Oryzias latipes: one gene and its partners. The protein of the gene in region 5 interacts with the protein of the main gene of each other region in a pairwise test. Links are inferred from orthologs where the notes say so. Each region holds a gene or a part of one and is shown on either strand. Other genes may lie near its edges. The genes, in order: eif3h, vars2, tbc1d22b, trim23, sorbs3, socs7 and cpne2.

What was found.
Region 1: the proteins of sorbs3 (region 5) and eif3h interact in binary tests that used the Homo sapiens proteins (3 or more experiments, as listed by UniProt). The two-hybrid records come from large-scale screens. The link is inferred for Oryzias latipes from reciprocal best matches to the Homo sapiens genes SORBS3 and EIF3H.
Region 2: the proteins of sorbs3 (region 5) and vars2 interact in binary tests that used the Homo sapiens proteins (3 or more experiments, as listed by UniProt). The two-hybrid records come from large-scale screens. The link is inferred for Oryzias latipes from reciprocal best matches to the Homo sapiens genes SORBS3 and VARS2.
Region 3: the proteins of sorbs3 (region 5) and tbc1d22b interact in binary tests that used the Homo sapiens proteins (3 or more experiments, as listed by UniProt). The link is inferred for Oryzias latipes from reciprocal best matches to the Homo sapiens genes SORBS3 and TBC1D22B.
Region 4: the proteins of sorbs3 (region 5) and trim23 interact in binary tests that used the Homo sapiens proteins (3 or more experiments, as listed by UniProt). The two-hybrid records come from large-scale screens. The link is inferred for Oryzias latipes from reciprocal best matches to the Homo sapiens genes SORBS3 and TRIM23.
Region 6: the proteins of sorbs3 (region 5) and socs7 interact in binary tests that used the Homo sapiens proteins (3 or more experiments, as listed by UniProt). The link is inferred for Oryzias latipes from reciprocal best matches to the Homo sapiens genes SORBS3 and SOCS7.
Region 7: the proteins of sorbs3 (region 5) and cpne2 interact in binary tests that used the Homo sapiens proteins (3 or more experiments, as listed by UniProt). The two-hybrid records come from large-scale screens. The link is inferred for Oryzias latipes from reciprocal best matches to the Homo sapiens genes SORBS3 and CPNE2.

Annotation. Positions count from the first base shown.
Region 1 is NC_019874.2:13,857,147-13,860,646, reverse strand, and holds part of eif3h (eukaryotic translation initiation factor 3 subunit H), read left to right. Parts: intron 1-1,665; coding exon 1,666-1,765; intron 1,766-3,500.
Region 2 is NC_019869.2:21,527,952-21,531,451, reverse strand, and holds part of vars2 (valine--tRNA ligase, mitochondrial), read right to left. Parts: intron 2,231-3,500; coding exon 2,133-2,230; intron 2,053-2,132; coding exon 1,971-2,052; intron 1,810-1,970; coding exon 1,690-1,809; intron 1,459-1,689; coding exon 1,350-1,458; intron 1,277-1,349; coding exon 1,188-1,276; intron 1-1,187. UniProt on the Homo sapiens protein: Catalyzes the attachment of valine to tRNA(Val) in a two-step reaction: valine is first activated by ATP to form Val-AMP and then transferred to the acceptor end of tRNA(Val).
Region 3 is NC_019865.2:4,879,952-4,883,451, reverse strand, and holds part of tbc1d22b (TBC1 domain family member 22B), read left to right. Parts: intron 1-1,313; coding exon 1,314-1,428; intron 1,429-1,833; coding exon 1,834-1,940; intron 1,941-2,010; coding exon 2,011-2,086; intron 2,087-2,177; coding exon 2,178-2,305; intron 2,306-3,500. UniProt on the Homo sapiens protein: May act as a GTPase-activating protein for Rab family protein(s).
Region 4 is NC_019870.2:3,058,623-3,062,866, reverse strand, and holds the start of trim23 (E3 ubiquitin-protein ligase TRIM23), read left to right. Parts: upstream 1-1,444; 5' UTR 1,445-1,496; coding exon 1,497-1,589; intron 1,590-1,700; exon of another isoform or gene 1,701-1,725; intron 1,726-2,028; coding exon 2,029-2,191; intron 2,192-2,508; coding exon 2,509-2,630; intron 2,631-2,709; coding exon 2,710-2,988; intron 2,989-3,060; coding exon 3,061-3,243; intron 3,244-3,337; coding exon 3,338-3,553; intron 3,554-4,244.
Region 5 is NC_019867.2:17,343,990-17,348,125, forward strand, and holds the start of sorbs3 (vinexin), read right to left. Parts: upstream 2,801-4,136; 5' UTR 2,679-2,800; intron 1-2,678. UniProt on the Homo sapiens protein: Vinexin alpha isoform promotes up-regulation of actin stress fiber formation. Vinexin beta isoform plays a role in cell spreading and enhances the activation of JNK/SAPK in response to EGF stimulation by using its third SH3 domain.
Region 6 is NC_019859.2:1,854,352-1,857,851, reverse strand, and holds part of socs7 (suppressor of cytokine signaling 7), read left to right. Parts: intron 1-1,121; coding exon 1,122-1,226; intron 1,227-2,103; coding exon 2,104-2,238; intron 2,239-2,364; coding exon 2,365-2,510; intron 2,511-3,500. UniProt on the Homo sapiens protein: Substrate-recognition component of a cullin-5-RING E3 ubiquitin-protein ligase complex (ECS complex, also named CRL5 complex), which mediates the ubiquitination and subsequent proteasomal degradation of target proteins, such as DAB1 and IRS1.
Region 7 is NC_019864.2:24,986,726-24,990,225, reverse strand, and holds part of cpne2 (copine-2), read right to left. Parts: intron 2,823-3,500; coding exon 2,689-2,822; intron 1,261-2,688; coding exon 1,206-1,260; intron 899-1,205; coding exon 847-898; intron 1-846.

The DNA of each region.
Region 1 (3,500 bases), on a different chromosome or scaffold from region 5:
AATTGTCTACAGTTTAAAAGCAAAAAGGAAGACTTACCCAAGGATTGAACCAGATTACTTTAAAAGGTACTTATCCATAACGGGAAAAATAAATATTTTATTTAAAAGTAAGAAAAGGCTTCAAACATTGCAGCATTTCCATAACTGTTAGTATGAAGAAACTGCATCTCTTGTCTTTTCTGAAACTTTTCTTTCTCCAGATTGTACAAACTGATGATGGATCATTTTCAGGAACATAACTTTGATCTTCTCCTGCCAGCTCCTCTAAAAACCTTGTAGTCGGGTGGTTTTCTCATTCTAAACCAGGCCTCCTGTTAATGTCAATCAATAATTCAGCACTTAAAGGATCAAAGCACCCCAAAGGAATTTACATTATCTGTTTAAAGTCAAAGGGGAAGAAATACATTGATTTCTTCTTTGTTTTCTTTGTCATCGGCTCACCGGTCATTTCATGCCGATGAAAGGATCAATCATTCGGACGACTGGTGGGTAAATGGCTCCTGTGCAGTGAGCTTGGAAGCAAAGTGGGTAGTTAAGCTAACTGGTTAATTGCGTTCCCCGTAGCAATTGTTTCTACAGGGGAGGCAAACAGTTGAAGGTTATAGGTTAGAATAGACACACATCTTACTAGAGCTGCTAAGTCAGGAACATTGAGTGCATCTGATGGGGCTTTGTGCCTCATTAGTAAGAAGCTTTATAATAACAGTTTACCCCTGTTTGGAAATATTAAGTAGAAGTGAATATTGCATGGGTGTTGACCATTTGAACTTTCTGATACCTCTGTGTGCTGCTCCAGCAAAATACGCATTTACTTTTTTGCATTCATTTTTTGGGCTTTCTTGGTATTTTGCGTGTTGAATAAAATAAATACTTGTTGGAGGAAACAAAATATATACTAATTGCTTCCTTAGTACCACTAAAAAAGAAGAAATTGCATAAAAATCCCAGTCTAGTATATTCTGCATTTCTATGCAGAGCATGGTTTCTGTGGGCTTAGGAGAGCTGTCCTGATCAGGACTTTCTTCCCTCTTGGCGGCGATGAGCCGTGACTCTCGGCTAACTGTCAGTTTTGTTTGGGGCCAGCTAATCTGTAAGTAAATGACCAGGCAATCGGAAAGGGAATTGTTGGCACCAAAACTTCATCTGGGCTGTCAGTCCTTTGGATTCAAAAGATTTATTCGGAAGGCAACGGAAAACGTTGAAAGCTTTGGTGAAATCTTTTTAAATAAATACAATAAATCAGAACAAGTGGAATGTGCCACAATACAAGTTGGACCACAAAACATCTTATCTTATGTTTTTCTATCACTGATGTCGCCATGGGTTCTTATAGCTTAACTGTTAGCCCCCAAAATTTCTTAGTCATTTTTTTTGTTTAGGAATAAATTTAAGATTCATAGCAGAGGATGGCAAACAGTTGCTCTTAAGGCTCCACCATTAAATAAAAAATAAAAAAAAAACATTTTTTTTAAACAGGAAAATCGTGTCTGATATTTTCTGTTTGTTTAATCATTAGCATCTTTAGAACTCTCAGCCCATTTCTCTTTACCTCCCATGAGTGCTGTTAGAGCATGCAGGCATTATTATGTGAAGGAAAAAAAAACAAGGAAACAAGATTTGTTAGCTGCATAAAAGTAAACAATTCACTTTTTTTCTTGATTTCAGATCCCATCAAGACAGCCCAAGGCTCCCTGTCTCTCAAAGCCTACAGGCTTACCCCCAAACTCATGGAGATCTGCAAAGAGAAAGATTTTACACCAGAGGGGTGAGTGGTTTTTTACAAGAGTACACAAAAACACTCCTGCTGCTGCTCTTTGGATTAAGTGTAGCAACCATCAAATATTCCTTTCATCTATTTGTTTAAAACCATCGGCCCCTCATTGCCCATACTTGCAGTTAAATTTTCCCCTTTTCCCTGGTTTAATTCTGTTTATTTGGGGAATGCAAACACAGCCTGGTGCATCCCCAGGGGAGGCATTTAGTGGCAGTTGGAGATGGACGCTGATGATGATGATCATCATCATGATTTATCAGCTCACTCCTCCTTGCCCGTCAAATAAATGTTCCATGTTTACGCTTTTTGTGACCCCTAAGGCTTATCGTAATTGCTTTTAAATTGCAGCTAAAAACAAATGTAATGAGGGAACTATTTCCCATGCAGTTCATTGCGCCACTAGAGCACTAACTCACTCATGCAAAAAGCATATGTATAAGGATGCCACAAATGCTCGGGCTAATACAAGCATGTCAGTGGAACATGGAAGTCCCAGAAGCTTTGAGTTGCAGTCAATTCCAAGCAGCCTACTATTGGAAGTGTATTTGGTACTATTTAATTTCCACCCCTCTGTATTTTTTCACCCGTGTGAGTCCCTTTCCAGCCAGTCTGTTATTGACCCTTAGTGTTGGGCCTGGACTCAGGATTACTTTAGTTTCTGCAGCTTTTCATTAGTTCCTATGATTTATTATAGCTCCAATCTGCCACTTTCATTGTTCCCAACAAGCCTCAACTGAAATGGGACAGCCCAGGGCCAGAACGGGTAATATTAGTTCTATTATTACAAATTCAGCTTTATTCATTTTTATTTTTTTCTATTTACCAAAAATTCATACCCTTTTTTCTTTTCTTTTTATCCCCAAAAGAAAAAAAGGAACAGTTCTTCTTCAGCTTCAAGCATTTGATGTTGAAAGGTTGAACATACTGTGGTCCACATTGAGTGAGAAATGTAGATAAAAGTGCGCTGATTGGAAGCAGCCCCTTTTGAACTTTCCTCCAACTCCATGATTGCCGTTCAATAACTTCAAGGGGTTATTATTTTGGTAATGCATTTTATAGTTCATTAAATAGATATTTTTCCCCAAATTCTGACAAACACTACTCATTTTATTGATTTCTCCCGATGTTCTGCTATAATTCATGCTCACTTGTCTTCTCTACTCAACGCCCGAGGCAGCTTTGCCAGCCTTTGTGCCTCAATCTTATCTTAAAGTTTGCCTGAGGGAATCTTGCACTCAGAATCCTTAACATGATCAAATGATACACTTCCTGTCCATATATCAAACAAACACGCATTATGTAAACATCTTTGTTGCTGGAACAATGCACATATTAGAGTAACTCACTGAATATTGATCCTGGGGATGAGATTTTAATACTTTACCTCTATTTTGTAGAACATGCTGCAAAAAAATCAACAAATTGCAAACTCAACAAAAACAATCCATGTGTATTGTAGGTCCTCATCATTGTTAGTAAAATTCACTCTACAGTGAAAAATAAAATCAGTTTATAGAGGGTTAGATATAAGATAAAACCTTAACTAAGGATCCTTTCCTGCTAAATGTCCTTGAAAACGTATGCAACCCCCCATTCTTAAGTATACTCTGTTATGAAAAGTGATGTCTGTTTTTTTAGAAAGACCAACTGATGACAACTGTGTTTTTGGTGTTCTTGTGGTATTTTTGTCATGATGGAGGACATCTATAAAGAAAATTAAAACTGC
Region 2 (3,500 bases), on a different chromosome or scaffold from region 5:
TCCGATTGACTTTTAAACTATTTTAATATCATTCCTAGAGATATTAATTATGATTTTGCCGTTTTACAGCAAAATAAAAATAAAACTGTGTTGTTTTCCAGGGCATAGTTTTTGCAGAGCGGCAGAAGTTCATTAGAAATTCACCTCTGAGTTGTGGGCGGGACTGTTAACTCAGAGCAACCCTGTCCCCCTTGCCCTGTCTCTTGGTGAGAGCGTGGAGCAGCAAGCTTGTAACTCACCCAGTGTATGATCTATGTCACAAATAAAATCTTTTTCCAACAATATTTTTTCCATCTGCTCCTGATTCACAAAAATTTGAATAAAGAAATATTTCAAAATGAATTATTTTGCTTATTTGTTTTAAATATCTGTTCCCTATCATCAGAAAAATGCCCAAAAAAACATGTTAAAAAACACAAAGAGCAAGATTTTCATCTAAGTAGATCTTTAAAACAAGATTTCTTAAATCCGTTTTAGTACTACTGTTCGTGTATGATTTCAGTAAGGGTTAATGGCTGACGCAGTGTGTCCGACGCTTCAGCGAAGTGCGTTTAGTAAGGGTTAATGGCCAACGAATTATGGATTATCACTTTTTAACGCACGCTGCGGAAACTTGAACCGTCCGACGCTTCCGCGGCGTGTGTTAAAAAGTGATAATGCATATTTCGAAGGCTATTAACCCGCTTATACCATGGTCACTTACAAAAGAAATAAATAGTAACCAGTTTTTAGTCCTTAATTCTTTTTTTTTTCCAATTTGGATCGCTTTTCTCACAAAAAGCGGACAAGTAGTCTAATAGTCTGCGCCGCGCCGCACCGCACCACCACTGCAGTCAAGACTTGCCGATATAAAGTGATATATATATGCTGATCTTTCCGATTGGTTGAATAAAGCATCAGTTCAGAGAGAAAGTTCACCTCTTACCGCTTGTTTTTGTCCAAATGATGAAGCAAAAGGTTGTTTTAAAGAAGCCGGCACAGTGATACAAAACATTTAAGCTAGGTGACCGGAACTTCTTCTTTCACCGTGCGGTTATCCTGTGGTATATCACTTTTTAACGCACACCCAGCAGCCAATCAGAATTGAGTATTCACCCGGACCATGGTATAAAATGCATTATGGGTCAGAAAAGCTACTTGTGTTAAAGTCACCACCAGACTAGATCGACTGTAAAGCAAGCACTGGCCTGATATCGAGGATCGTCGGGGTGGACCGCTACGGAAACGTCTCCGAGCATCGTCTCAGGACGGGTGGTGGATACCACCACTTCTGCCTCTGAAACCCATGAACCAGGTCAGTTAGAAAGTGGAATCCAGCTGGACCACACAGCTGGTGTCCCTGATCTCACCGAGGCCCTCTACAGGATACGCAAAGGTAAACATGGCACCAAACTCTACCGGCTTTTCATAGCCGGGAACAAACATCAAGGTCTTCCCACACAGATCCTTCCAGTCGACCTGCAGTTAAAAAAATAAAAAAATAAAAAAATCACATTTCCACTTTGTAGTGCTGTGAAAAAGAAAATGGATAAAATCAACAAAGCACCCTCAGCTCACAAACATGATTGAAATGATAATAAATAAATAAAAAACTGAATTCTGAAGGAATTCTCTCCAGATGCTCTGTGAATCTGATGTGGCTCAATGCTCTTTGTTGGTCACATGGTCATGTTTCTAAGGAAGTCTCACCTCAATGTCGGAGATGGCAGATTGAAGAGCGCAGCTCCAGTTCACCAAACCCTCAGAGCGATAAATCAAACCTGAATCGCAGAGCCTGACGAAAGCTTCTGTCACAGTGCTGCAAAAACCCTGCAATCCAAACCAAATCACAACATCTCACTTCATTTGTATGCTCTACTGCTTGTAGCATAAGAGAATTCAGCTGGTGTCAGCTCAGCAGTGGTTGATGATCTTTCAGGCTGTATCTTCACATGCATCTAAACAGAAAATTGGGTTTAACTGGGACTCACTGGATCCATAGTGAATCTGGCTCTGCTCCAGTCCAGAGAGGCTCCAAGCCGTCTCAGCTGCTGGTAGATTTCATCTCCTTTCCTGGAAGCCATTCAGAGGAAACATGACAGGAATAGCATAACAAACAAACTCATCTGAGGTCAACAGGGAAGAGGACTTACTCATTCTTCCACTTCCACACCTCCTGCAGAAACTCATCTCTGGTGAAGTCCTGTCTGCGCTTCCCTTTCGTCCCGACAAGTCTTCTCTCCACCACTGCCTGGATATAAAAACAGGGGAAGAATTTGCACTTCACTCATTAGATGACGTGTGTTCCCCACTAGTATGCTTTAAATAGATTTATTCCGGAAAGCCTGCACAATAAATTGCAAATGTATTGTTATTGCAACAAAAAACTGTGCAATATGGCTTTTTTTTCTTCTTTTTCTCTTTACAGAGAAACTTCCTGATAATCTTGGTCTTCTTCCTGTTGTCAGCTTCAACATCTGATTAAGAAAAGGGTTATGAGATTATCAAATTAACAATAATATCTTTACATGCTAACTGGTTTAATTTATCCAGTATAAAACCAGTTAAATTCAATTCAGTTCTGTTTATTTAAAAAGTACCAATTAACATCTTAGACTGTTGCTTCACAACAGACAAAAAAACTCAAATAATGATAAATTCATTGCAATTGTTATTATCCAATTTATTCCAACAATTCCTAAATATTATACTCTAAATTGGACCTGATCATCTGACATAGCCCAAATTGTTAAAACTGTGACTTAAAATTACAGTAATCCTGTATAAGGGACTAATTGATTACATTAAAGTGACCAATCACCAACTGTGGAGAGGGAAAACTGCTCGTATAAATAGAATAATAATAAAACTTTCACCAGAACCAGACTCGGTCGGCCATGAGCAGCCTGAGTTTGGAAGAACAAGAAAGAAAAAAACACACAAAACCATCTGTTATAAAAGAGATGAGTTAGAAACTGAAGCCACGAAAGAACAGGAAGAAGACAGATGAAAACAAAGTCTTTGGAACATCTGTAACAAAAAGGAAGGGAAACATTAGCAACTACAGAAAAAAATTGAATACAAGGCAGAAAAAGGAAAAAAAAATCGGAACAGCTGTTATCTACGACAGTTTTAGGGCCACCAAAAGAAAAAAAAAAAGTATAATTACGAGATTTTAAGTTGTACATTTAAGAAAAAATTCGTAATTTTCCGAGATTAAAGTGGAAGTGAGCATACAGAGCAGTGCAGTGCAGAGCAGACCGACTAAACTCAATTGAACAGGTCAGCTGAAGGTTTATTGATAACGTTCCAAATGTTTGGAAGTTCATTTGTTTGATTTACGATTTATTAATGTTTTATTTATTGATGGGTGGTTTGCAGGATCCCTGCAGCCGATGAAGCCATCGGTGTCCCTGCAGCTGTCCACTTCCATCCTTTCTTCCTCCACCAAAGACACGATCTCTACGTTTGTGCGATGCTTCCGTCCAATGAGTTATAACTCAGTTATATCGCGATATAAC
Region 3 (3,500 bases), on a different chromosome or scaffold from region 5:
AAAACAGGAACTTCACCAAAAACATTTGACAAGTATTTTGGTTTATTCAAACTCTCAAACTTCAGGTGAGCAACACATTATGTTCTGATGGAGTCTGTGACTCTGCCCCTCCCACATTGCCATGACAAAAGCAAGACTTGCTGCAAAAGCTGTGGCCCCCTGACCTTCAGGGAGTCCAAGTTTTAGTTTTTTGTGTATTACACCCTTAAAGTTCTGTTTACCCAAACAGTGAAGCAGGTCACACATTTAGCAGAGCTAAAAAAACAACATTTGAACAATTTAAAGCAAAATCAATAAACGTTTGAGTAAATATGGAAGGCCTGTAATACAAACTTTTATTTCTCAGCAAAAAATGGTTCATCATTAGAATGGAACTTCTAAGAAAATGTAGAAAGCCAATTTCCAAAAATGATGATTTCTACTCATCAGAACCAAAACCTTCTAGTTTCTCTAAATTCAACTTTTTTGTGTGTTTTCTGTAAACGCATACAAAACTTAAGTGGTTTTATGAATTTAAATGTGTACATTTAACCCAATTAAAACAGAAACAAGGATAAAAACATCTAATAATAGAGGTCAAACTTCATATATTTCACAAAAAAGACATACAATTCCCAATAATATAATAAAAGAAGAAGCAAACAATTCTCCCTAAAAACTGGGGAGTTATAAATAAACTTTTCCAAAGAGAAGGATTTAAGATTTGTTTAAAAAGCCCTCACTTGAAAAATCAAAGTTTATCAATAAATATGTCTGATTTGAATGTATTGATGAAGACTCAATGACTCGCCAGGTTTCTAAAATTTTGATCTTATTTTTAGAAAACGTCCTAAATTAAACCGAAAGAATTTAACCAGCTGATTGAATTCCCTGAAATGGACCAGCCACCCTGTTCTCCAGGTCTCCCTGGCCTCCTTGCTGATGATGAACTGACTCGGATGTTTCCTCCTTGTGTCTGATCCAAGTTAACCAGGGGTGCAGGGAGAGCTGGAGAACAGGCAGGGAGTTAGAAGACACGAGTTCTAGAGCCTTGCAACTGAAATAAGGAAGCCTTTTGCTTGATATAAAATTTATTACACGAAATCATTACCTTATCAATGCATCTAATGTTCTTATTCGTCAAATAGTGTTGCTGTGTAGAGCTGAGGTTGTTTTTATTTATTTATTTATTTATTTATTATAAAAATGTTCATAACTTCCTGTTGTGCCGATTAATTTGTGTCTGTATTCTTATGACACAGTGAGTGTTTTTAGGCTGAAATTTCTTTTCATAAGCTGTAAATGTGATGATGTTTTTGGTTTTTTTTTCTCAGGTGTTTGAGCGAATTCTCTTCATTTGGGCCATCCGTCATCCAGCCAGCGGCTACGTTCAGGGCATAAATGACCTGGTCACGCCCTTTTTTGTCGTCTTCCTGTCTGAGTTTGTCAGTAAGTTCAGAGTTTGGTATTGAGGCCTAAAGACCCACTCCGATAAAAATTGTGTTTTTAACACGTTCTCAATGGAGGACAAATATTTGAAGAAAATTTAGCTCAAAATTACATTTATGAGTGTTTCTTTATTCAAGTCTTTGTGAATCAGGAGCGGACGAAAAAATGTTGTTATGGGTGACGGGAAAGGGGGGGGCGCCTCAGCCTCACAAATGCAAATTAATAATGAACTATTGTCTGAAAAAAAGTACTTTTTTATGGGCTAAAAACAGCATAATCATAATTAAAAGACCACTGGGAACGCTTTGAAAACAGACCAAAGGATGATCGGAGTGAGACTTTAAATGTTCCTAAAACCAAAACCTGTAAACTTGAGGTGAGTTCTGAGTTTGACTGATATTCCAGAGGAGCACGTGGAGAACTTTGACGTGGCGATGCTCCCTCTGGACACCCAGAGGAACATCGAGGCAGACAGTTTCTGGTGCATGAGCAAGCTGCTGGACGGCATACAGGTGCAGCTCCTCGTTCTCTGTGCAGTTCTCTGAAACGCCACCCTTTTCACTGAAGCAAGTTACTTTTTAGGACAACTACACCTTCGCCCAGCCAGGAATCCAGAATAAGGTCAAAGCTTTGGAGGAGCTGGTCAGCAGAATCGATGGTAGGTGGATGAATCTCCGTCTGACTGCAGGATGCACGCTGCACCCCAAAACAGAAATCGTATGAATGTAAAAACTGCTTTCCCTCCTCAGTGGATATTCACAATCATTTTAAGAAGTATGAGGTGGAGTACCTGCAGTTCGCTTTCCGGTGGATGAACAACCTCCTGATGAGGGAACTGCCACTCCGCTGCACCATCCGTCTATGGGACACCTACCAGGTACAGAGCTCATGAGCACGCAGATCAAGACCTGTTCAGGGTTCGGAGGATTGATTTCTTAGAAAGAATTTGTACTGCAAGAATATTAAAGAGTGAACCTGCACTTAGTTGTTGAAGACGTTTTTAGTTTAAAAAAACTTAGTCCAGATTAAGGTTTTAAAAACTTTTTCTGTCATGGGTCCATCCTTACGACTACGAGTATTAGGGCCACCTTCAAAATAAGAAGATAAATACATTTATGAGAATAAAGTTGTAAAATTATTTTTAAAAAATAATTTGTAATTTTAGGAGAATAAAGTCGTGAAATTACGAGAAAAAAGTCAAATATTTCGAATATCAACTTGTAAAATTATGAAGAAAAAAGTCCTAATTTTAAAAGAATAACTCGTAGAATTATGAGTAAGGGTGAATATTTTACTACAATAAAGTTATAATTTCGTAAGTTTAGAAGTTGAGAATGTACAAGATTAAAGTAAAAGATTTATGAGCCAGAAGGCTGTTTACCTTGAAAAATATAAACAAAAAGAATCAATATATATATTCAGTACATAGAGCGCTTTGTAAGCGGTTAGTTCAGCATTTGTCTTTTTGTGAGTCCACATTGTTTCATTATAAGGACATTGAAAAGACTTTGAGAGAAACTGGAACTCTTTAGAAGAAGATTCTTGACCCACTAGGAATGGATTTTCAGAGGGCGCGCCGTTTATATGGTCAGCAGTGTGGTTGCAGAGGTCCAAATGCATTATGGCACATAGATTCTTATGATGATGCACATATTTTTAACTTTTGATACTTGATCAAAGTTTGCTATGAAAACTTCTGAAATAGTGTTATGTCTATTTTACTGATATAATATTATGTTTTAATCATATCAATGACTTTTATAAGTAACATAATTTGCATATATTTTGGATGCTTCATTGCCATGTTGATTTCTAAAAGTTATTTTTTACAAAATAATTTAAGTAATTTTCGTTGTCATGTGCTTTATTGATACTTCAAGATTCTTAATCCTGTCTGATAAAAGCTAGGAACTGGATAATAATAAATCATGTTATAAAATGGTAACGGTAGAACAGAGGTGGGATTATATAAGTTCGCTTCCTTCCACTCCCTTTCAAGCGATATTTGTTAATATTTCTAATTATCCTTAGTTTGATTAGTTATTTTATGAATGTATAACTGATGGTTGTTT
Region 4 (4,244 bases), on a different chromosome or scaffold from region 5:
AATGTTTGCATGAAGCATGACGTTTTAGTATAAAAACAAATGCGGGGGTTTGGAGACGAAAACACGAAGCTGCTTTGTGTTGAAGTAGGTCGCGCCGAAAACACGTCATCATCAAGAGACAGTAGTCTGTGGAACTGTTTTTTCAACAACTTTATTGTAATTTTTTTTAGCAGAATACAAAAAAACTAGTGAAAATTAAATTATATAAAAAACATAACATAATACAGACTTATAGCAAAAACGGTGGCAAAGAAAAACAAGTAACATAAATACTTAGGTGTAAAATAGGCTAAGTATGCTTTATGTAAATAGTTTTTAAGATTCACAAATGTTAATAATCTTATTGAAAAGGAGCCTGTTGTCATATTTTGTTCTTTTCTCAGTTTGAAGAGAAAAACCACCAAAAACATTGTTATGATAAGAAGCTAGTCTTGAAGAATGATGGGTAATGTAGTCTCTAGTAATAGTAGTATTCCATTTTACACATCCTCATAATCATTGTTAATTTGTTTTTGTACACCTTATATCTCCTCCTTATATCAGCTTAATCTCTTTTGTGCTTATAAATTCCTTCTATTACACTTTTATTTTTAAATTGAATTTTTATCCTTTTTACGGATGTTATAAAGTTCTTATTCTCATTTATGTTTATTTTGTATTTTTGTTGTTGAGGTAAAATTGTTTTTTAGGAGACAACTGTTTTACCTGTCCAGGTACGACAGATGATAAATAACCTTTTGGCTAACTTTGGTGAATTTGCAAAGATGCATTTTCATGTGCAAAAGGTTATCTTGTCAAATAAACTAATAAAATAAATAAATCCTTAATACACATTTTACATGCTGTATTATACAGGTGAAATTGATCCGATGTTAGAAGAACGAAAACGTTCATTATTAATCATGTATAATTTATGGTAATTAACATACAAGTCATGTATTATATTGTAACGATCCGGCCGGACCGTCACTTTAGTGGGGTAGCGAAAGCCTACTGCTCATGAAGAGGTTCTAATGGATAGCTGTCCGTGCCCCATACACCGTACGACACATTACAGTCTCAAGTTGGAAGAAACGTAGAGAGAGGCAATATTAGTTTTTATGCAACAAGCCTGTTTATTCTAGCACACCATACAGCCCAAACAGCACGGAGCCTAACTTCAGCTTCCAGCCCTCTGACTCAAGGTTTCACCTAAGCTCCCCACTTCCCATGAGCCTTAGGGGCTGAAGGCGGGGCTAACCCCCAGGTCGCTACAATATGTTAATGTATTAATTATGTTTAATTGGTTATTATTAAATATTTCATTTTTTTGTTTCTATTTTTATCCAATATTTTTACAATTTAAGAAAAGGAAAACAACGGACGCATTAGTGTTAATTGGAACCGGAAGTTGATTTCACACCTGCCTGTTCACAACAAAACTCAGTAGACGAAACCGGAAGTAGCTGGGAAATGTAGTCTCGGTCTGGCCCGGTCCTCTGCACTGTCGTCTAAGAATGGCGGCTGCGGGAATAAACAAGCAGGGCACCGTGGTGACGATGGAGCCCTGCTTTCGACACGGGAGGGGGGCGAACGGAAGCACCGTTAAGGTTCTGATCGTGACTTTTATTTTCTGATTAGAGTCGGACTCCTGCGGCGGGGCAGCATCAGAGTCGAGGGCAGGGAGGCTAGCAGGATGAAGAAGAAGAAGCCGCTGCGTTGGCGTAGCCTGTGGATGTTAAACGTGTAAAATAGTGCAGCGTGCATCTCTTTATTCATTATAACACTGTTTTTAACTATAATGAATGAGACCTGCTTAATTCTAGAGCATTTAAAAGGCTGGTTTGGTGTTTGCGACACATTTGAGGTGCGAAGGCTAGGTGCCACTAGCTTAAAGTTAAAGTAGCTATAAATTTAGAAAAAATGCTTCAGATTACATTTTATATTGTTTATTTGCTGAAAAGTCTAATGCGTTGGTGGCGAAACGAGCAGCAGCTGTTTCCTGCAGCGTGGAAAAATGTTTCCACTCGGTGTCCGTCCCTTTTTCAGGTGCTGGAGTGCGGAGTTTGTGAGGACGTCTTCTCCCTCCAAGGCGACAAGGTCCCCCGCCTGCTGCTCTGCGGTCACACGGTGTGCCACGACTGCCTGACCCGGCTGCCCCTGCACGGCAGGGCGGTCCGCTGCCCCTTTGACAGACAGGTCACGGAGCTGGGTGAGTCCGGGTTGCTATGGCTACCGCGCCTCACCCATCTCAGTGGACTAGCGGTAGAGTGTCCGCCCCTGAGACAGGAAGGTCTTTGGTTCAAAAACCCCCTGCTTAACCCTCAGCATTGAACCACAGAATGGATCCAGAGTGCAGATGTGTCTGCGGCTCACCGCCTCCATAAGTTAGCAACTCACGTAAAGCTAACATATGCAGAGTTGTGCATGAGACGCTGAGAATGCAATCTTCATCAGTAGAGCAACAGTTGAGCTTTGTGTTGGCACCTCTTCTTAAAACAGACGTTTTCTTTCTTCACGTCTGCTCAGGAGATTCGGGGGTTTGGGGCCTAAAGAAGAACTTTGCGCTGCTCGAACTCCTGGAGCGACTCCAGAATGGAGCCACCAACCAGTCAGGAATGTCTGAGGACGCCCTGAAGGGCATGGGAGAAGTGAGTGGGTGGGTGGGGACTTGTGCTTTGCCTCTGTAGTTTCTTCTCTTCGCACTCATTCCTCCCCCCCTTAATCCAGTGTATAATACGGTGTGACGAAGACGAGAGCCACACAGCCTCCGTGTACTGCACCGTGTGCGCCACCCACCTGTGTGGCGAGTGCTCCCAGCTCACCCACTCCACTCGCACGCTGGCCAAACACCGCCGCGTGCCGCTGGCCGATAAGCCTCACGAGAAGATGCTCTGCCCCCAGCATCAGGTCCATGCTATCGAGTTTGTGTGCCTGGAGGAGGCGTGTCAGTCCGGGCCTCTCATGTGCTGCGTCTGCAAGGAGTATGGCAAGCACCAGGGACATAAGGTAGGCGAAGGCGTCCTTTCAGGGTCAGGATCTTGATCTGAAATGCTAATGCGTATCATTTTTCTCTTTTAGCACGCTCTCCTTGAGTCTGAGGCCAATCAGATCCGAGCTTCTATCCTGGACATGGCCCACTGCATCCGCAGCTTCACAGACGAAGTGTCCGAGTACTCCAGGAAGCTGGTGGGCATCGTGCAGCAGATAGAAGGAGGAGAACAGATCGTGGAGGATGGCGTAGGCATGGCGCACACCGAGCATGTGAGAAAACCTCGCATCCATCAGTGTGAAACCATGACTCCAGAGTTTCCCCTATCGTGACCTCTTTTTGTTTTTTTGTTTTCCTTCTCGTCAGATTCCCGGCACAGCAGAGAGCGCGCGCTCCTGCGTCCGGGCTTACTTCTCAGACCTCCACGAGACTCTGTGTCGGCAGGAGGAGATGGCGCTGAGTGTGGTGGACGCCCACGTTCGGGAGAGGCTCATCTGGCTGAGGCAGCAGCAGGAGGACATGACCATCCTGCTGTCGCAGGTCTCCACCGCCTGCCTGCACTGCGAGAAGACTCTTCAGCAGGTAGCTGTGCTTCAGATCCCAGCTCACAAGTCTGTTTTCCTTCTGGCAGGTTTAGGTTTCTTTCTTGCATCATTTCGATAACTTTAATTTGGAATTCTGACACACGCTCAAGTACATTTTATCTATAAATACATGTTTATTTTTTTAAATACATGTCATTTCGTGTTTTGCTATTTTTTAAACTGCCTTACAAGCTTCGGGTGAATTAGCATTAAACTTTTTTTGCATTTATTTTTACATTTCGGTGGCCCAGAAGGGTCACAACACAACACATTAACTTTACACACAACACATTAACTCACAACACAACACAATAACTCACAACACATTAACTCACAACACAACACATTAACTCACAACACAACACATTAACTCACAACACAACACAATAACTCAACACATTAACTCATAACACAACACATTAACTCACAACACATTAACTCACAACACAACACAATAACTCACAACACAACACATTAACTCACAACACAACACAATAACTCACAACACAACACATTAACTCACAACACAACACATTAACTCACAACACAACACAATAACTCACAACACATTAACTCATAACACAACACATTAACTCACAACACATTAACTCACAACACAAAACAATAACTCACAACACAACACATTAACTCACAACACAACACATTAACTCACAACACAACACAATAAC
Region 5 (4,136 bases):
AGAGTTCAGTACGTTCCAGCAGAAGCTTCAGGCCAGTAAATCCCAGCCTTTTTTCCCCTCAAGAGGACCCAAGCTCAGAGTCGAAGTTGATTATTCTCATCAACAACATAAAAGAAATTCAATTATTTTCTTCAATGTGTTCAATATACCGTCAAAGCATAAGAAAGTAGGTGCGGGTAAGAGAAAAAAAATTTCCCAAATCTTCCTGCCTGTCATCTTGCATTTTTAAAGCTGACTGTAGGCAGTTGGACCCACAGAAACGTGACAAAGGGAGTCTGAGCCAGCTGTGGAAATCTCCCTGACAGTCAGGGGGGTCTGGACAGTCCAGTCATTGAGCTCCTTTTCAGAATGAGGGAAGCAACACGGCTGAGTGACATGTTGATCTCACCTGGTGTACACATAGCCCCTGAACAGATATTTAGAAACATTGCCCTCAGTGTACTCTGTGTGTTCATGCTTGGATGCATGCATTATTCCACTTGCTTAGTCAGTAAACAGTGGTGTTGCAACACTGAACTTCCATAGATTAAAGGCTTCATTTTGCTGTTAGATTCTTTGTAAAGATACATACTTTCTGCAGCATTTAAAACAAGGTAAACACTGTGTACACCTGAGCAGTCAGACTGGTTACTCAACACACTTGCTAAACAGCCATACCTGAGTTTCTCTGCTCTCGATTGTGCTCCCTTTCTTTACGAGTCCCCTCACCTTCCCGCTGGGGCTGATAAAAACCTTCCCCCTGACTGAGTGGGGCATGGAATCACCTCTGTCGGCCCTGAAGTTTCCCTTTTCTGACTGCTGAAACTGGCCAGGTCGCCTCTCAGACACCCAACCCTCACACCGCCTGCCTCCGAGAAAGACTTCCCGGTTGACAAGTATTACCATGACAACCCCTTTCAACCTGCGTTTAAAAGGCACCCTGCACTTGGCTTGTCAGTTCAGGGGCACCTCCTTCAGTGAAACAGCCCCATTGTTGTGATAAGGAGATAATTCACAGCACAGGGTTAACCAAAGGGGAACACAAACAGTTCATCACCTCTGCTGCCCGAACACAGCCAGGCGACTCCATGATGTCTCCTCCTAATTATCTTTTCTGTGATTATTTTACATAAAGAATGTGTTTGCATATTGTGGACTGAGCCTTTTAACTACTGTTTTTCTTTCCTTCATACATACAAACATGTGGAGAAAATAATTTGACACGTGATAGATATCTTAGCAGTGCAAAGGACAATTATTCAAATTCAGATGAATACTTCAGTCAAATTCGTGTGTCGTTCTTGATCAAATCACAATGCAGGTAAACCCCCAAAAGGACAAAATGCATACATGCATTCTGCTTCCATGCAATTCCTGCCTAACAGCCTGCCACAGGTAGACTGAGCTACAAATTCCACAAATAGTGACGGCTCCAATTCTCTGCCGGCCTGAATGGTCTCACTCAAACTTTCAGTCAATCTGCATATTTGTTTTAACATCTTCATGCAAGCCACTTTCCTCCTGAAACTTAAGGCCTCTGCTCTGTTTAATAATTCAGCGGTCTGGCTATAAAACCTGGGGGCAGCAGCTCATTCACTGAGCCTGTACTGCTCTCTGGGTTGTTTTTGGCCAAACGGTGGAGCTCCCAAACTTAAAGCATTACCCAGGCTCCTTTCAGGAGCCTTAGTTCTTAATTAGTGCCATGCAGGAACAGACTTTTTCCTTCCTGGTTGCACTTCTGTCATTATATTATTCTGTTGTTAAATGAGGTAATCGTACAAACAACTGGGTAAAGCCACAACCAAACATCTTTCCTTCACCCAATCCAGACAAAAAACACCTATTTCTTGTAGAAAAATAAGCCAGAAAAGGAGGCAAGGTATGCTCTTTTCCTACGTGATTCCCCACTGTTGTGGAAAGTTTCCAGCAGATCTTTATTGCGCTGTAAAGACCAACCACTGCCCTTTCACATAATGCCAGTACACTGCAGAGCCTCATTAAAAGGATAACAGCCAAAGATTCCAGGGAGAGAATTTACCATGACATAAGTGGATTATGCAATGAAAAACTACATCATCTTGAAACCAAAGTTACAGGTTTTTCTGGGTTTTTATTAGCGTGATTTTTATATTTGACTTTTTCTGAAAGAAGAAAGACAACCGCACTAAAAAAGTCTAAAAATCCAGTTATCATCAGTTAACATGAGAGAGACAGTACAACTCTACAGGTTAAAGGTATCATCAGAAACATGGAGGCTTGAGATAAGAACTACTTGTCGTGAAGTGTCACATGTGGGAATGTCTCCTGAGAACAAACACAAAGTAATCTGGGTTATCCTGGCACTAAAACAGCTTATTTCGGTTCGGGACTTTAAATTTAACTATCGTATCTAGAAAAAAGACTTAAGTTTTCCAGAAAGTTAATCAGAATAAAATCTGACAGCTCAAAGTTTGGGGAGAACCATCACTGTTATCAGCTGTAAAAAAAAAAAAAGTACAATAATTTTGAAGTGATGAAAAAACCCCTGTAAATATCAAGTGTCTTCATTCATAAATGTTCCTCCGGCAAACTGAAACTCCTGTTTAAACAATCCCAAAGTTCTGAAAAATCTTTCTGCACTGTCAACTTTTACTTCCTCGTCACCCACGCTGCTCTCATCTCACAGTCAGAACAGGAGGCACAAGTAGTACAGTACTTACAGGCTGCGCAGTCAGATCTTCTCGGCACAAAAGAAGAGAGGAACTGAATCCAGAAGGAGGAGGGAACCACCACTTCTCCCCACTCGCTCCGTTCCCTCCCTTTTCAGTCTGAGGACAACAGGGTGGCTTTTATCTATAGTGAATGATTCAGCGTGGGCCTGAATCTTTCCCTGCCTGTCTGTAGGCGTGCTGGCATGTGTTTGTTTTGCGACCATTCACTTTAACGCTCATCAGGGAGACAGGGCTCCGTAATAGTTTCCATCCACAGCTGGAAATAATAGATTCCCATCCAGTCATGAGCTAAGCAGAACAGCTTGTCAGTGTTCTAGGTGCAAAAGTCGATTTTTCTTTTCAGAGAAGAAGCATGGGTAACTCATGTTGTGCAGCAGTTCAGTCTGTTTACTGTCTGCTGTTATCATCAGATGGGTCTGATACATTTGTTCCTCACACAAAAGGCAGTCTGGGCAGCTTTTTATGTGAACCAAGGGGTTAAGTCAACGCGCTTCACCTGTTTCTCACAGACATAAATGCAGACGCATACAGGCTGACTACCTCACACACATGCAAGAGAACATAAGGCTTCCAGAACTAAATCTACTTACCTTCCTAAAATCTGAAAAATACGACAGTTCAACCATAAGAAGTAGTGCCATGGATCTGATTCTAGAGCAGTGAAGCTGCAAGATTCTGACTGGATTTACATGTTTATTCCCACGGTTTCTTATCCCCAGAAACATATGTTTGGTAGATTCCTTCACTTTGTGATCAAAAGCAGTGCAGTTCTGCCATCCAAGATAAATATTTAACAGGTAGGCTGTGAGATCACAAACCAAAGGTCACACCTTCAGTCTTTTGTCTAGAGTCCATCCACATGTCAAGACAACAATCCAGAACTTCACCGTAGTGAGTCGGAAATGTTACATGCGTATATATAATATATACTATATATATATTAATATATAATATAATAATATAATTACAATATATATATAATATTAATGCATACTTGGAGTCAAAGATCACACAAGTGTAATTACAAATAAACAGTTGTATTTTTTTTCCCTTCAAATATAATTTTTTTAAATGGATGTCAAGGTATCTAAAGATTTATTTCTAAACTATCTAAAAAATAATATTGATACCTGCAACAAGCCTCGGTTTCACTGTCTTGAACTCAAAGAGTTTTAAGAAGTAAATCTCTATTTAGGGAGTTATTGGTTTTTCTCATAATAAATGGAAATATGCTGCCCCTCAGTGGTTATAAAGGGCACTGCTGGGTTTGTGCTTTTACATGTGAGCAGAACTGACAGATGTTCCCAGAGTTGAAGACTCATCTAAACCAAAACAAAACAAAAAGTTTAAAAAAAGAAGCATGAATCCAAATTCAAGTCAAATTAGTCCATTGTTTTCTAAAAAAAAACAAAAAATAATGTTGGACAATGTTTAACGAAAATAGAA
Region 6 (3,500 bases), on a different chromosome or scaffold from region 5:
GGTTGAAAATGTATTTCTTTTGTAAGTGACCATGGTATAGGCGGGTTAATGGCCTTCAAAGTGTGCATTATCAGAAATGAACTCACAAGGGGGAAGCCTGAACCGCGGTTCAGGCTTCCCCCTTGTGAGTTCATTTCTGACAATGCACACTTTGTCATACCACACGCGTGACGATGGTATGTTCCATTTCCACCTTGAGGTGGCCGTACGACCCTCATGCATGCGTGCATGTGACTCAGGCTTCAGGAGTGGACTCACAGTTTCTTTTCTTCAAATCCTCTCCATGCGGAGAGTCTGCAGCTTTTGATCCAAACTTTTTGGTGATGAAGTTCAAAGCCCTTTCTGTTAGCGTTCATTAAAATAATATTCCAGTGTGGGATCACATTCAAAAAGGTGTAAATAATTGTTTGTCTGCTGCAGGAGTTTGTGATTTTATTCCCCCTGCTGTGGTTAAATCCTGACTAAAAAAACCACACAAAAACAAATCCAGAAGCTTTTTTTTTCTTCTTCCAGTTTTGCGGAGCTTCTTTAGGAGAAGTGGCAGCTGGACTCAAAGGCAGGACAGCAGATTGAAAGTGAAAAATAAAAGCCCCAGCTGTTTTCCTGGCAGAGGTGGAGAAGTCAGAGGTGGGCGGCAGATGGAAAGCCGTGCCGCGTTTTTTATTCATGCAGCAGATTTCAGCTTGGAGACGTCTCCGTGGGGCTTCACAGTCTTTCAAACACAGATGACAGATAAGCAGCAGAAGAACTTGATGGACGTATGAAACGGTTCAGGTTGGATCTGAAACCAAACCGGCTGCAGTCGGTGGACGGTTCTCTTTAGTGGCGTTTTGCTCTTAGCGTCTGATTTGGCTTCCTCTGATGCCAGAAACCGACTGCTGAACGCCGTTTTGGTAAACAGAGAACCTGCAGCGTCTCAATTAACTTGGGATTGGATGTGTTTCTTTATTGCAGTCATTTGTGCTGATTAGCTGGGTGTAATTCTCCATAAACATCCTGCTTGGTGCACTTTCAGAAAATCTCTGCATAGAAAATAGGATTTTTTTCCATTTTTCCCCTGCAGTTTACGTTGTGGTTTTGCTTTTCATCAATTCAAAAAAAAAATCTGTTTCTGGCTTCAGGTGAGACCGTTTCTTTGGTGGACGTGGATATTTCTCGGCGAGGGACGATCACGCCACACCCTCCGACTCCTCCCCCTCCTCCACGCCGAAGTCTCAGCCTGTTGGGTACTTTTTTTCCGTCCTGATTGAATGTACATGTCCGCGTTTTTGTCATTCCAGCGCAAACATCCCGACAGGAAGCGGTTTCCTTCACCATTCTGCTCCGTTCAGACGCAGACACGTTTTAGGAATCTGCTGTAATCTGATTGGTGGAGACCAAACTTCATTTAAACCTGGAGGATTCAACGACAGAGAGATGAAAAAGAGAAAATCTAGCTTCTCTTAGAGAATTGGTTTGAATAAATGTATGAGAGTGTGACGGGTTGAGCCCTGGGTTAAGGGCAGCAGAGGAATATGTAATGTTAAATTCCTGAAACTGTTTGTTTTCTGACCTTTTAAAGGCGCCTTCTCACTGTGAGTCCCACACATGATGTGGATGCCTCATGATGAATATTTACTGATATTTCAACAATAGGAATTCATCGTTTTGTTCTGCCGTCTTAGCTGCCATGTTCGTGTGTGTCAGAGGTTAAATAAATGTCTTTATGGTTCTGAAGCCGCTGGAAAGTGGATCGTTGGATCTCGACTGCATGCCAGTACTTTTACTTTGACAGTTTCAAACACATGTTGTGGTTAATTTAAAAAATAGGTTTTATGATTTAGGCTTAGTATTCACTGTTATTTGTGATCTGCGGTCTAAAAATGGATTTTTGTAGCTTTTTGTTGTAATTTTGTAAAACACAGATCCAACCCAAACAAAACAAAACCCCAAAATTAGAGATTTGGCCAAATTGTGGTGAAAGTGAGTGTCTGGATCCCCCGTAACCGGACGGTTTGGGTTCGGTTTGTCTGTCTGACGCTGATGCTGCTCAGAAATCCTCCTCTCCTGACTCCTTCCTTCTTTTGTCCCGTCTCTCCTCCGTCCCTCCTGTCATCCTCACAGACGACATAGCCGGGCCTCAGCCCGGCTCCTTCTTAGTGAGCGTCATGGGCGCCTCCCTGCAGTCCCTCCCCTTGCCTCTCCCGCCTCCCCCTCCTCCCTCCCACGCCACCATCCAGCACAGCCTCAGTCTCAATGGTAAGATGTGGGCTGATGTGTCAGAGTTGAGGGGATTTTTTTGGGGGGGGGGATAAACTCTAAAATTGTGATGTTTTTGTTGGTTAGAAACTCTTTTCTTGTGTCTTTTTTACGTCTCTGAATCAGACGCTTTCCTGCGAGCCCTCCCTCATTCCAACCCGTCGCCTGCTGACGCTCCACTTCCCGCCAGACAGGCTCCGCCTCCCGTCCTCTGTGCGCTGCGGCGGTCTGAAGCCAGCAACTTCACTGCCAGTCTAAGAGAGCTGGAAAAGGTAAAACAGTTGCTGCTCGTCATGTGTTGTAGTTTTTAGTCGGAGGATTTCACGTAACAGACCGTCTACTAATGATTATAATTTTATAATAAAAAGACTTAGATTCAAAAATGTTCTGATCTGTCTGTGAGCTGCTTGGACTTGATTTTGTGAAGGCATCAGCCAATCACAGTTCTTGGTGACAGTCAGCTCAGATGATTCTTTTTTCTGTCTGAGCTCAAAAACAAACCGCGTCAGGAGACTAAGCAGTCGGTCAGGGATGTTTTTGCTTTTAGCAAACGCCTCGGGGCTGATCAATAACCAAACTGTAAGAATTGAACAAAGTTCCTGGAAACGAGGCGAGTGAAGCTCTGGTTGCATTGAAGAGGAGCGGACACGGCGTGGGTGAAAACCAGAAATCCAGATGTTCGGTCAGAGCAGAACATCGCGATCCAGAAACGTCGCTTCTCAAAGTCAGCAATCCGCTCCAGTTGTGCCTTTTGTTTAAACAGATCTAGGGTTGATCCGCTTCACTTCACACAGAGTCTAACAGGATCGTTTAAATCTATAAAATAACACTTTTTGTTTAGTTTTGTTTGAGAAAAACTCTATAACTCCTTAAGCTCAAATAAAGAGTAAACCAAAGCCTTTTGTCTTTTTAAAAATCAGTTTGGAAAACACCAATCCTGTATAAAAAGGTCACCATAGCAACTATGGTGATCAGACTTTCACATGATGGGATAGATGGGTGGTCGGATGCTGTATTTTTCAATAGGTTGTGTGTTTTTATCCAGAATATTATCTTAACTTTGACAGGAACATTATTTTCATGCAGCAATAATCACTGACAGAAAGCCAGAATCAAGACTAAGATCAGTCTCTACCGAAAAGACGTAACTAACTATAAGAAACTGCTGAAATGTGCAAAAGCAGAAGCCAGGTCTGACAAACAGGAAAGAGTACAGACACACGGCTTCCCTTCAAAATAAAACAGGAAGTTAGTCTGAACTA
Region 7 (3,500 bases), on a different chromosome or scaffold from region 5:
CATCTTTGGATATGTACAGCATAGAAGGATACACCAGACCAATCCTTGAACATGGGGAAAAAGAAGGCTATATTCGTTGGCCACATTTGAAGAAGTCATTGAATTTGGGCAGCACTTGTCGCGGCGCTGTGATGTAAGCAGCCTATGAATACAGGCCAGGAAGAACGCAGCCCCTGAATTTGGACACAGCCATAAAGTGTTGCTTACAACTGAAGACCAGAAATAATAACGTCGTGCATTCACCCACAATCTAATAATTGGATAGCCACCAACTCATGATTTCAGTATTTATATCAGCATTTTTATTCAACAGTGTTTAATGGTGTATTTTGTGCCAGGAAATTCTTAACATATTCCCACCTTCATTTGGCTGAGTTTGCTTACACACCTGACAATCAAACTACCTAGAAAAAGCCAAGCGATTCTCACTGATGCTTGTTTGTGGTATTTCCTAAAACAAAGTCTGACTAAGAATAAAAAAAGCATGATGAGGGAAACTGAAACATCATTTCATTTCTACACCATAGTGACAAGACTTTTCCAACCATTTTTGCGGGTGTTTCTCTTAGATTTGTGCTGCAGGTTGGTTTGATTTTTCTTAAAATGACACAGTACTGTACTTTCACCAGTTTTATTGTTTTGCCTCCCACCTTTGATCTGGTAAACAACTCGCCTGCATTCATTCTATAGTTAACTGCATTTAATTTGCAGGAACACCAGAGTTCACCTGTTCACAGCAGACTCCAGGTTTAAGGGTGAAAGTGCTCCTGTGAAAAACCAAACACTTCTCCAAATGCTGCAGCAAAATCCCCAACAATGGCAGCTGCTTCTCAATAACCTTCTCACCTGAGCAGAAGGGGTTAGTGGGGTTAAAGTTGATGGCAAATTCATGTGAAACCTGCAGAAAGAAGAAACCTGAATCATAAAGAGGATTTTTCACCAAATTGTGAAATATTAACAGGAAAAACACGATTAAATCCTTTCCACACGTTCTCCCTCCCACCCCGAGTGTACTGTGTTTTTGTCCTTTGCATAGGCTCAGTGCCATGGCAACGCAGATGGGCTGGTAGTCACAAAATCATGTGAATATGCATGTGAATTCCTACAGTTTGTGCGTGCAGAATAAATATAACAGTTTACAAATGATTCATCATTGTGATCTGCCTTTGTGTTTGCCTCATGCACAAACATGGCTACACACATACCTTCCAGTCTGGAGGGAGCTGGGCACCAAATCCCAGAGCAGGAAACATTTTGTCACTGAGGATGAAACCATGACAACAGATTGAGAGCATTACTTTAATTTTTCTTGCCATGTGAAAGCAACCCGGTTACCTAGATTTCACAGAAACATTGCCAGTTTGAAGGGAAACAAGCAGAGGGCAGGTAAAAAAGTGATGCAGCAGGGAGAAACGGTCATCGAGTTTTTTTTAAGTCAGACATTCACCATTTGTCAGTGTTTTCAAGAAATACCCTTTTCATTTTGAAGACTGCTTCAAAGATGCTCTAGTATATATATATTTAAAAAGAACAAGACAGTAGCAAATAAAACATGCAGTGTGTGACAAATAAAAAAATACTTTGTTAGACGTCAAAGGAAACCTACATGCAAATAAATATTCATGATAAGACTGGAGATGGATTCACAAAAGCCTAACTAAGTCAGAAGATCATGAGCGGAGAATAATAGGAAGTACCACTTGATAAAAACTGTGTAAAATTCATTCCTCAATACTTAATTCTTTGAGGAAGGTGTCTCACTTGGGAAAAAATTAAAGATCAGTCAAACTGAACTGAATACCAACTCCAATCATCTTTTGATGTACTTTAATAGCATTCCCAGTGGTCTTTGAATTATGTTTAGATGTTTTTAGCCAAAATCAAAAAACCTGTGTTCTTTTCTAGGACATAATCTCTGCAGAGCGGCAGGAGTTCAGTAAACATTCATCTCTGAGTTGTGGGCGGGAGCATTGGCAACTCTTTCCCGTCACCCATTAAAGGGAGCTCTCTGTTTACACTTCCTCCCACTAGCTTACAGCCCCTCACAACCCTACACGTACGTTACTGGTGCAATATGGCGAGCAATGTCGGCGCTATCCAGCCGTACAGTTTTTAAACAAGATACGTGCTCAGACCAAAGATGTACATAGATCTAGTCGACTACAAGAGGATGCTTTGGAATGGAGTGGGGCAGGGAGCTTGTGGCCCACCCAGTCTATTTTTTACGTAACAAATACGATCTTTTTCAAACTGTATCTTTTTTTCTGCTCCTGATTCACAGCACTTTGAATAAAGGAATGCTCAGAAAGGCAATTTTGATTTTGATTTTTTTTTATATGTCCTCTATCATCAGAAAAAGGCCACAAGAACACGTTAAAACACCCAAAATGCAATTTTCACTGTAGTAGGTCTTTAAAAAAGCTTAAGCTGCTGATCTGTATTTGTTGCTTTTGTGTTTTATTTTAGCTTTTAACCCTTATGAAAGTCTACTCAAGAATTTTTTTTTTTAAATGGTCCAAAAAAAGAAAAATGTAAATTTGGAAACCAAAACATAGATTTTGTTAATTTCCTGCTGCATAAAAAAGGCTAATTGTCTATTTTCAAGTTTTGCACCAGCATGGTTGACAAAAACAGTAAAGTTTACTTTTTGAATTTACTTCCATGATAATAAAGTGGTTGTTTACTTACGTGTCATAGTCCTGAATGATCTGCCCAACAGCTAAAATAGCTGAGAGGTACTCATTGCTGCCTAGTGGGTTAATGTAGTGCAGAGAGGATGGCTCTCTGGGATTTCCATTTGAAGCAGTGAAGTCTATACCGACCTGCAGAAATCAGAAAGAAGTGGAATTATTTGTACAGTAACGTAGAAGAGATAAATAAACACTAAAATGACCACAAATGTTAGAGTTGAACGATTTACAGCAGGGATGACAATTGTTTTCACACAAGAGGGTGTGAGTTTTTCAATGGGTGAGACACTATATATCAAAACACTGTTGTCACTTACTGTTCTCGTTGGTTTCATAGTTATCGTACTTGACACCCTTTCTCCGCCTTCATCTAACCCTTTCCTCAGCATCCAACTCATTCCCATTATCCAGCCTCATGTCTCTACATCCATGAAACTTCTTTACACACAGAACCTCTATCTTGCTGCTCCTAACCTTCAATTCTTTTCTTTTTCAGAATAAACTCCCACCTCTAAATGTGCCTCAACATGCTCCCATACAGATCACAATGTCATCTGTAAACAACACGGTCAACTGAGATTCCTGTCTAATCTCATCCGTCAGCCTACCCGTCACCACAGAACTAGCATTCAATAGTTCCTGAAAGTTTCAAAGGATTTTTTTTTTTTACAATTTTTAAACTTTTAGTAATCCCTTTTCAAAAATATATTACAAACACATCATTGTCAATTTTGCACAAAAGTTGTAGTGACTGGTAAGTGATTGGCAATTTCCTTCCATCTTAAATCTCCTTTGATTTCTCCTATGTAT